3 linked regions of the Caenorhabditis elegans genome follow. The protein of the gene in region 3 interacts with the protein of the main gene of each other region in a pairwise test. Each region holds a gene or a part of one and is shown on either strand. Other genes may lie near its edges.

The links.
Region 1: the proteins of C43E11.9 (region 3) and Y69H2.3 interact in a two-hybrid assay, tested with the Caenorhabditis elegans proteins (one large-scale study listed by BioGRID).
Region 2: the proteins of C43E11.9 (region 3) and mex-3 interact in a two-hybrid assay, tested with the Caenorhabditis elegans proteins (one large-scale study listed by BioGRID).

The regions. Positions count from the first base shown.
Region 1 is NC_003283.11:18,662,443-18,666,198, forward strand, and holds the start of Y69H2.3 (Follistatin-like domain-containing protein), read right to left. Parts: upstream 1,685-3,756; 5' UTR 1,655-1,684; coding exon 1,588-1,654; intron 1,546-1,587; coding exon 1,469-1,545; intron 1,420-1,468; coding exon 1,284-1,419; intron 370-1,283; coding exon 175-369; intron 109-174; coding exon 1-108.
Region 2 is NC_003279.8:125,208-128,963, forward strand, and holds the start of mex-3 (K Homology domain-containing protein), read left to right. Parts: upstream 1-2,077; 5' UTR 2,078-2,089; coding exon 2,090-2,129; intron 2,130-2,177; coding exon 2,178-2,229; intron 2,230-3,489; coding exon 3,490-3,689; intron 3,690-3,737; coding exon 3,738-3,756.
Region 3 is NC_003279.8:4,266,620-4,269,702, forward strand, and holds C43E11.9 (60S ribosome subunit biogenesis protein NIP7 homolog), read right to left. Parts: upstream 1,349-3,083; coding exon 1,226-1,348; intron 1,177-1,225; coding exon 875-1,176; intron 829-874; coding exon 711-828; 3' UTR 580-710; downstream 1-579. Other genes in the region: mus-81 (Crossover junction endonuclease MUS81), read left to right, coding at 1-107, 163-555; cdc-6 (Cell division control protein), read right to left, coding at 1,648-2,151, 2,449-3,083.

The sequences.
Region 1 (3,756 bases), on a different chromosome or scaffold from region 3:
ATTTCTCCATACAGTTTACCAGTGGCTGGGGCTTAACCGGACACTTTTTCTCGAAGCACGCGTTGTGACACTGGTTGGGCTCCTCGTTGGTTCCGCAGGTTTGAGAGCCTGGAAAGTTGCAGTGCGGTGGCGCAATTCTGGTGCATTTTTTCGTCCAATTTTTAGAGTACTTACCAATCGCTGGGCACTCGGCCTCCTTGACACACACTCCTTGGTTGTTTCTGACGAATCCGTCCATGCAGGAGCATCCGACTTGGCAGGCCATCAAGCAGTTCACCTGTGGAGCATTCTTTTGTGGGCACTTCTTCTCGGTGCATGGGTTGTGGCACTCGTTGGATACCTCGTTGACTGGGCATGTGAGGTTGGTGGCTGGAAATTGGTGGGGGGTTAGAGGGGTTTGGGGTCGGGGGTCTTGGTTTGGAGGCTTTAGGATGCCTGGTAGGTTTGTGCTTGGCACCCTTGAAGTCTGGCGCTGGTACCCACGATCTGGGCTCGGTACCCCAAGCTCTGAGCTTGGTACCCATGAACTCTGGGCCTGTGACCCATTAACTCTGGGCTTGTTACCCTTGAAGTCTGGCACTGGTACCCACGATCTGGGCTCGGTACCGTGGAGCTCTGGGCTTGTTACCGTGGAGCTCAAGGCTTGGTATTCTTTAACTCTGGGTCCGGCAGTCCCCGAGCTCTGGGCCAGGTACCCACGAAATCTGGGCCTGGAACCCATGAACTCTGTGGCTGGGGACCCTGAACTGTGGAGCTGGTATCCCTGAACTCTGGGCTGGGGACCTCTGAACTTTGGGCCTGGCACCCCTGAACTCTGGGCCTAAGATCCATGAACTCTGGGGGCTGGTACCTGGGTCTAGATACCCGTTTCGAACTCCGGGCCAGTGTCTGTAGGGCCTGAGATGCCTTAGAGAATGGGCCTTGTCAGGAAGATCTGATTTTCAAGCGGACCCCGCGCTCCAAAACATCAGATTCCAGGACTCCGTGTGCAGCCCGGCCCAAAATTTAGTCTTTCGGTATCCCCAAAATTTGGGGCAGGTACCCCCGAACTCTGGGCCTGGGACCCTTGAACTCTGGGCTTGGCGCCCACAAAGTCAGGAGGCTGATACCCCCAAGCTCTGGGTCTAGATACCCGTTTCGAACTCCGGGCCATTGTCTGTAGGGCCAGTGCGGCCTTAGAGATTGGGCCTTGTCTGGAAACTCTGATGTACTAGCGGACCCAAAATTTCAGATTCCGAGACTGCGTAGCCCGGCCCAAATTTTAGTCTGTGTCCCCTTCTAACCTGGTGGTGGAATTGGAATCGTCTCATTCGCCGCAACATTGCAGTCCTTCTGCTCAACACAACGATTATCCGAAGTTCTGCGGAAGAATCCACTGTTACACTGACATCCCATGACGCATTGCAGTGTGCAAAAAGTCTGCAAAAACCACGTTGTAAGCCGGAATTTGACAACAAAATCTGCTCACCGGAGTCGGAAGCCCGCAAGTCGGCTCGCAAGCCGTGCCACACGTCTGGAAGCTCTCGTTTTCTTTGCATTCTTGGTCTGAAAGGGGTTTAGGTACACTTTTAGGTTGGAAAAACTTACCTCTTGTCGCTGAAAGTTGAGCGTTTGCTCCGATGAGCAGAACGCTGAGCAGCACAATATACTGCATCGCTCCGAAACTCGGAAACTCTGGAAAACTATAAAATCACGCCATTTTATAGCATTTTTATGCGAACCAAAACATAAAGTTTCAGGAAAAACATTATAATAAAAAAACCAGAAAATCGAGAAATCAGACATCAAAAGTGCGGAAAACATTATGTTTTGAGAGAGAAAAGGAGAAAGTAAACAAAAAAAAATGTCTGTGTTTTGATGATTTTTGGGGTCAAAAGATTGGAAATTTTGCAGAAATTGCTGGGAAAAAATGGGGAGTTTAAAGAAAAACAACATTCGAAGTTACAGAAAACTTGAAAACAATATGCAAATATTGCAAAAAAACATGGAATTTTCGGGAAAAAACTATTGTTCAAAGTAAATATTTTTTGATATGTTTTCAAGTTTAAATATGTAGTTTGAACTGTTTTTTCCAAAAAAAAATTATAGAAAAAATCTATGAATTTCAGACAATTTTACATAGGAAAAATCAACTTTTCAGATATTTTTACATAGGAAATTGGAAATTTACGGCATTTTTTATATAGACAAATCAAATTTTGAGACATTATTTTACAGGAAACTCAAAATTTCAAATATTTTTACACTGAAAATTCGAAATTTCAGGAATTTTTACATAGGAAATTCAGAATTTCTGCCATTTTTCTACTGGAAAATCACTTTTTTCAGAAATTTTTTATATAAAAAAATTCAAAATTTGAGACATGTTTCGACTGAAAAATGTATTTTTCCGGTATTTTGAACTGTGAAATTCAGGATTTCGGCCACTTTTAAATGAATAAATGGAAATTTTAGACATTTTTACATAGAAAATTTGAAAGTTCAAACGTTTTTTTTACAGGAAAATCAATTTTCTAGACATTTTTAAACATGAAATCTGAAACTTCAAGAATTTTTTATATAGGAAGTTCAAATTTTTTACGTTTTTGTACTAAAAAATTCAAAATTTCCGGCATTTTCTGCTAGAAAATCAATTTTTCAGATATTTTCACATGAGAAATTCAATATTTCAGATTTCTATACAAAAAATTTGAAATTTAGGACATTTTATACTGGAAAATCATATTTTTAGGATATTTTTTCATAACAGTTTGAAATTTCATGCATTTTTACATAGAAAATTTGAAATTTCTGCCATTTTTCTACTGGAATATCACTTTTTCAAACATTTTTACATAAGAAATGTGAAATGTTTAGAGATTTTTATATAGGAAATTCGAAATTTCAGAAATTTTTTACATATAAAAATCGATTTTTCAGACGTTTTTCTACAGGAAAATCAGTTTTTCAGATATTTTTGTATAGGAAATTTGAAATTTCTGCAAGTTTTTGAAAATCATTTGAGAACTCTGCGTCTAAATTCCCGCAATTCTTGTAGATCTGGGGGGTAGATCAAACCGAAATGGGACAGCATGGGCAGTTTCACTACAAACTACAAACTACACTTGAGTACTAAAATTATACGACTAAATGACGAGACAAAATCAATATTTCGAACCAACAAAAAAATAAACGAAAATCTAACGAAATTCACAAAGTTGTAGTGGATTTTTGGATTAAATGAACACGCGCGAGTTGACTAGAAAAAACGGAAATTGAAGGGTTAATCCCCCAACCCGCCAAATCTTTTATTTTTTGATCTCCCACACATTTTTTACACGTTTTTTTTTGTAAATGATGTGTGGAGATTGGGATTTGTAGGGGGGTTTGGCGGGAAAATTGAATTTTCTGATAGAAAATTTGAGAAAAATGTAAAATTTTCGAGAAAATGGGGTTTTGGGACTACTTTTGGAGAAAAAACCGGCAAAAAAACTGAAAATTTGGCGGTTTTTGGCAGAATTTATTGTTTTTTGGATGTTTCGGGTTATAGGAAATGAAAAGTTCAATAGAAAAACTGAAATTTCTGACATTTTGCAATTAGAAAATTAAAATTTCAGACGTTTTTACATTGGTAATTGGAAATTTCAGACATTTTTGAATAGGAAAATTCTAATTTCAACCATTTTTATGAAGGAATTTTTAAATTTTTCTACAAAATTTTCGTTTGAAATCGACTATTTTTTGCCAAATTTAGCACTTTTTGAAGGTCAAAAACTC
Region 2 (3,756 bases), 4.1 Mb from region 3:
ATTTAGATTTTTGTTCATGCACCATGTTGTTTTTTTTTTGGAATAATTGAGGAATTCCTTACTTTTAAAGTAAAAAGTTTGGTGAGATCCATGTGTTTTCATATTATTCAGTTGGTAAATTATACAGATTATTGACTGAAGGTTAATTTTTTGTTGGGAAAATAAAAATCGCCAAAATCAATAAAATCGTATTTAGAAGTAGGGTTTCCATATAGGCGGTAAAAGGCTTGTCTGCCTGACAATAAGACGACCGCCGCTCGCCTCAATCCGCGGCGGAGGCAGGCAGGGTTCAGGTAGGCACTGAAACCGCGCCTGCTTACCATGATGTTCCGTTCTTGTCGATGCACCATGATAATTTTGGGTTACATTTTGAGCCTTTTCGAAAAATTAATGGTGGAAAATTTCAAGCTGAATTTTAATATTTATTTTTTTAACCGTATTGTGGGACATGCAAATGTCTTTCATTTTGTGTCCCTTCACTCTAACGTCTTCAGAATTTTCGAACTTCTCGATGCACCATAATGCTGTTTGGCGATAACTTTAGAGTAAGAATGGTAGCGATTTTTGCGATGCACCATGACGTTTTTATCGATTTTCAGAAAAAAAATCACTCCGAGACCCAAATAGTTTCATTCTCGACGCACTATAACGTTTTCGAAGTAAATTTCAAAATTGCTTCTCGGAAAAGTTTTTTGAGACCTACATGCACCTTTAATCTTCTTTGGAAACTTTGGAATTTCCGCCGAATACTCTCATTTCAGTTGTTCTCGATGCACCATGATGGTATTTTTTTCAAATTACTTTTTTTTGATTTTTCCATGAGAGGACCAATATCTGTCTTTATAACGGCGCATTCTGTAACCAAATTTTGAAATTCCACGACATTCTGCTCTCATCGATTCAACATGATAATTTTAAAATGAAATTTAGCGATTTTTCGGGAAAAAAACAGTTTCGAGATTTTCTAGTTATTGGACACTCTGCACCTTGCTTATTTGGAAATTACATTTTAAACCGACAACCCTTCAAAAACTGCTTTTCGTCGATGCACTATGAGTGCATAATTTTGTGTAAATCGTGGTGGGCCTCTAAAAAAACCGAAAAAAAAAACGTATAAAACGCAAACAAATTGTTTTTGTTGTAATGTTGACACCAACAGATTCGGCGTGGAATATACGGAAGATCGGATTTCCAAAAAAACAACCGCTCTCCTGTTTTCGACGTTCCGCCGCTTTTTATGGGAGAAGTAGTATGTACCTTTAAGGGTACTGTAGCCCCTTGAATATTGGCCTAAAAGTGAAACTAGTGTTGCCAAAAAAAAACGAGATGACCAGTTTCAATATGTCATTTACATCTACACATTTCTAAAATCTCATTTTAAATTCCATTGTTTTCTCGTTTCTTCTGTCCCAAAGTACCGTATCCTCATCCTTCTACCACCTTAATTTGCATTTCTTCTTCCTTATTCACTCTTCTTCCCCTGGACGAAAAATGTTGCACGACAACAACAAAAGAGACCCGCCCCCCACCATCGGTTTCTCTGAACCTCTAACTGTCCCCGCCCCCTTTTGGGAGCCCACTGTCTTTTCTTTTTTTCTTTGGTCGCTGATTATGACGGATCGTTTTTGTCGTTTTTGTATTACAGGAATACAAATTTCCCAAAACGCGTATTGCACAACATATTTGACGTGCAAAATATCTAGTAGCGAAAACTATAGTAACTCTTTAAATGACTTTTGTAGCACTGATGCCGATTTAATTAAATTATTTATTAACAGATAAAATATTAAAAGAAAACACGACAATTCAAAAAAATTCATTTCGTAAATCGAGCCCGTAAATCGACACAAGCGCTACAGTAGTCATTTAAAGAATTACTGTTTTTTCGCTACGAGATATTTTGTGCGTCAAATATGTTGCGCAATACGCATTCTTATAATTTTGTGTACCCGTAGTATATTTTTGTCTCTCTGATTTCCATTGCAATTTTTTAATTCCATATTTTTTTGGTGACAAATTTCTCCGCTTATCAATTTTTTTTTCAACCACATAATTATTAACCCCAAAACATCGCAGATTTTCAGGTAAAATGCCAGTCGTGAGCGTTAGACCTTTTTCTATGAGAAATGGTGAGCAATTTTTTTGAAGTTTTTTTTTGAAATTTTTAATTTTTCCAGAAGGCTTCTCAAACGGGCATAACACGTGGAACGACGCCGAATTTTGGAAACCGTGAGTTTTCGGCAAATAAGCTAACAGTCTAAGAAACACGAAAAAAAATCCAATTTTCTTTTCAAAATTCGTGATTTTCGGATGATTTTTGAACTTTTTGATTAATGTTCCCACTGAAAATCCTCCAAATCTCTAAAAATCCGCTTCTAAAAAAGCCTCAAATGGCCTTGCGAGAATAGACGGAATGTTCAAGGATGACTGGTATAAAATCGGCAAACGTGTTGCCATTCAAACAGAATATCTCGAAATTTCGCCTTCCTTTTTTTTAAGTGGGTCGGATATTTAACATACAGAAGAGAATAGGGAGAGAAAAGAGGGAAAAGAGGGGAAAAGTCTTCTTGGAAACAACCTCGAACCGCAATTAAGTTTTTGCCTCACCCTTCAATTTTCGTGAGAAAGTTAAAAATCCAAATTTTTTTCTCCTTTTTTAAAAAAAGATTTCCTCCTCAAAAATTCAAAGGATCGAATTTTTTGTTACACGCCTGCCTCCTTTTTATTACCCTTGTTCTTGATCGCAACCTCTTTTCTAGATTACTTGAAAAAATGCGCTATTTTTTTTCCTTTTTCAACAGAGTCAATTTCAAAGGTGCTGTGGAAAAAGTTTCGGTTTTTTTTTGCAAAAATAATCGAAATTTGTTCGTTTATACTGCTTAAAAAATGACCAAAATTTCAAGTAATTCATTCGAAAAATCGATTTTTTTGAAATATACAAAAATTTTCAATTTTTCATATCTGAAAACACAATTTTTTCGATTTTTCATTTTTCTTGGAAAAAACACAAAAAAAAACTGTATTTAATTTCCCACTTAATACTACGATATCCAAGCCCCGCCTCCGCGTATTGTACGTGAACACGGCGGCCCAAAATTACACACTATCTCACACACGTTAAATGAGTGATACCGTACTCTCTCTGTTTTTTCTTTCATTTTTTCGGCGCCGAAAATTTTCAATTTTTGGTGGTTCTTTTGGCGGGATTTTTCGGATTTTTGTCGCGTTCACACACACACACCAGTTGGTGTTGCCTGTCGTCACCCACCCGCCCCACTCTTTGTCCGTGTACTGCTTTGCCATTTGTGCGCGCGTACCGCTGCCCGTCTGTCTTTCTCATCATATGCGCCTCGTTTTGTCGCTTTTTCTCCATTTGCCCTTCCTACATGGGTACCTGCGGTTTTCATCGAAAATATCCTTAAAAATTCCGAAAAACCTCTATTTTTCGATTTTTGAATCGATTTTCGCCCAAACATAACCATTTTTCAGAATGAAGGAAGAACAAATCGCCTATAAATTGCCAGGGGCTTGGTATTACGAGGAGGACACTGCCTCGTGCTCTCCAGTCAGCGATCCGGAGGATATTGCGCAGTTTCTCAACTACAGAACGTCGATAGGCGTGCAAAATGTCACAGAGTCCGTGGAAGTTCCGACGTCGGAGCATGTCGCCGAGATTGTTGGTCGTCAAGGTAAAAATTGCCTTTTTAGTCAAATCTACAGTTTCCACAAATTTTCAGGCTGCAAAATTAAGGCACT
Region 3 (3,083 bases):
GTGGAGGTAGATATGATGAGCAGAAAGGACGATTGAATATGGCTCCGATGAAGAATCGAGTTTATTTGATTGAAGCTCAACATAAAGGAGATGTTGCTTGCGAACAGGTAGAATATAGAATTAGAATCTGATGATTTTTCAAAATTCTAACAAAAATTCCAGGCCGTAGCATCAACTCTTTCCAATGGAGGATATCTTATTCAAAGATGCTCTGATACTCGAGACACAGCTGCATTTCTCAAGGAAGTGACGATTCGTTTGCAGAACAAAGCGGCCATAGAAGAAATTTCGGGTGTTCCATTCAGCCAACTCCAGAATCTTCTCCAGAAAAAGAAGGCGGAAACTGTGAAAGAAGCTTGGGTCCGACAGCTGATGGTTTGCCCGGGAATGTCTCAGAATCGAGCCGAAGCAATTGCCGATCGATTTCCATCCATGGTATCCCTGCTTTCATATTTTCGTGCAAATGGAGACGATGCACCGATTCGACTTCTTCAGCTTTTACCTCAACTAACTAGGCCTATTACTCGTAACCTTTTCAAATTTTTTGTTCAATAAGTGAATCCTGAATGAATCAGAATTAGATTGAATTTTTTATAATTGAATGAAAAATTTTGAAAGGAAGACCAACAAAAACAACATCAACAAGAGAATAACAATGAAAAATGAAAAATTGTGGAATTTAAAATTTTTGAATGGAGACCAAAATCCGATTAAGCGAGATGACTCTCATTTCTGAGATACTCTCCAAGATCGCATTGATGTAGAACGACGAGAGCAGTTGGATCGGCACGCTTACTGTCTGATGTTCCTTTCGCTGACACTCCGAATCTAGAGAAATATATTTAATTAACTTGAATATTAAATGTGAACATACCCCAATGGAACATCGGTCATCGAGTATACGACGATTCCAGCATGAGTTGGAGTTCCGTCGGTCATTCTTGCGATTCCAGACTTGAGAATGTTGTTTCCGTAAAGGAATTGCTGCTCGGCGTTCGGCTTCAGCCACACCTTGAACTTGGCATACGGCGCCAAATAGTCGAGAGCGGTGATTTGGAGATGGAACTTTTTGCTTTTGGTGAACTTTCCCAAGCAAGTTCCAAAAGAGAGAAGTGGCTCACGGGCAATGCAGGCGGCTTGACGCATCAGATTTTCCGAACAGTAATAGACACGTTCCTGAAGAACAAATCGAGTTTTTATTGGATAAAGAACAATTAATTAATACCTTGTGATTTCTGAAGCAATAATCTCCATCATTTCTGTCGATGAGCATCGAGACATTGTCTCCGATGAACGAGGCCAACTTGGCAAATACAAGCGATGTCTCTTCTTCTGTCAGTGGACGCATCTGAATAATTAAGAAATGGGTAGAATAATTATAGACATAATAAAATAAAGATAAAAAATTTTGGAATATAAAACCAAAATTCAGAGCAAAAAGTTTTGTAATAAATATGGAGAACGTTTATAAATTACACAGAACGTGTACCCGAAGGTAAAGGGACAGGTATTCAGAAGAGAGAACGCGTTGAAAGGAAGTGAGAGGAATGATAAAGTTTACAGGGAAATGCCAAAGTAAGAAATTCAAAACTTTTTCAATATTTCAATAAATAGAAGTGGATATAAATTATGTTACAGGAGATGCGATTAAAATTGAAGGAGTCCAATTTGATCAAGCATCGCGTTGTCACTGATAGCCGATTTTGCCGTCGGAGCATCAACTTGAAGAACTAGCTTTCCGCCGTTTAACTGACGGACGAAGGATTGAGATTCGAGAGTCTGGAACGCTGAATGAAGTTCATCGTCATCAAGAGCGGGCATTCGAAGAGCCTCGCAAGCTTTATAATAGGCACGGAGCAGGGAATTCCGATCGAATGTGCATTTCTTGTTGGCAGAAAGTGTTAAAGAGACAGCTAGAAGAATTCGAGGTTGAAGTGGAAGACGAGCACGAGCCAATGGAGACGAATAGACATTGTTGATGATTCCAAGAACTTCACGACATCCATTAACTGGGGTACCAGGAACTTTTGAATCATCAGGAATCATACGACTTTTTTGTTGTTTGAAGATGTGGAGTGCGGTACGAAGATCTCCGCTCATTGCAGCCACTTTACGAGCGGTTAACTCGATTGCCTTTGCGTCAATTGAAGTCTGAAATTATAAAATGTAAAATACTAAATGAACTTAGGAGCACCGGTTCTCTGAGTTTTTCGCTTGGAAAGAATCAAAATGTGCGCAAACGAAAGAATTTCATAATGAGACTGCTGAAAAGTTCTTAGAAAATGGGCGAAATTGGTGATTTTATTTAAAAATAGCTTTTTTCTTCGAAATTTTTTAGCCACCATAATTGTTTTTTTGAAAATTCTCACTACAAAATTAGTTTTTTTTGGTACATTTTGAGTCTATACAAGCCGAAAACCGATACTCATCCTTTAAATTTAAACTTACCTCCTCGTTTTTCATTTTATCATTCAAAATTTCTACGATGTCATCTTTCGTATACGGTTCAAAAACGAGTCTTTTCGGTGGCTTCGCGAGCATCAATTTTGGAAGAAGTCGTTCTGTCAAATCAATCGAATTTGCAATTCCAAGAATGATAATTTTTCGAGACAACGTCTCTGGCCATTGAAAAGCTGCGTAGAGTGCAGCGTTCTTTCGATTCGCGAGATGATCAATCTCATCGAGAACCAGTACCAGAGGAGTTTTGAATTGCTTCACGTGCTTCTCAAAAATTTCTTCATTCGGCTTTCCGTCCAAATCCAAAGATTCGAAAATCGTTTTGAATAGTGCTGATTTGGTATTTGTTGAAGCGCAATTTACAATACAACTTCGAACTGATTTTCCCAATGATTTAAGAACTCTCATTGTGGTCGCAGTTTTTCCAGTTCCAGGTTGTCCACTGACATAAATAGACAACGAAGTATTCGTTTCTTTACTTTTCATAATCCATAATTTCAGTGAATCAAATTCTTCACGTCTTCCTTTCAAAGCCCCTTCGGAAGATGTTGAAATAATTTCTTCGCTGTCAGATTCCGATGAGCTCTCTTTTCGCGACTTTTTCTCTGGTGTTCCCTGAGATCCAG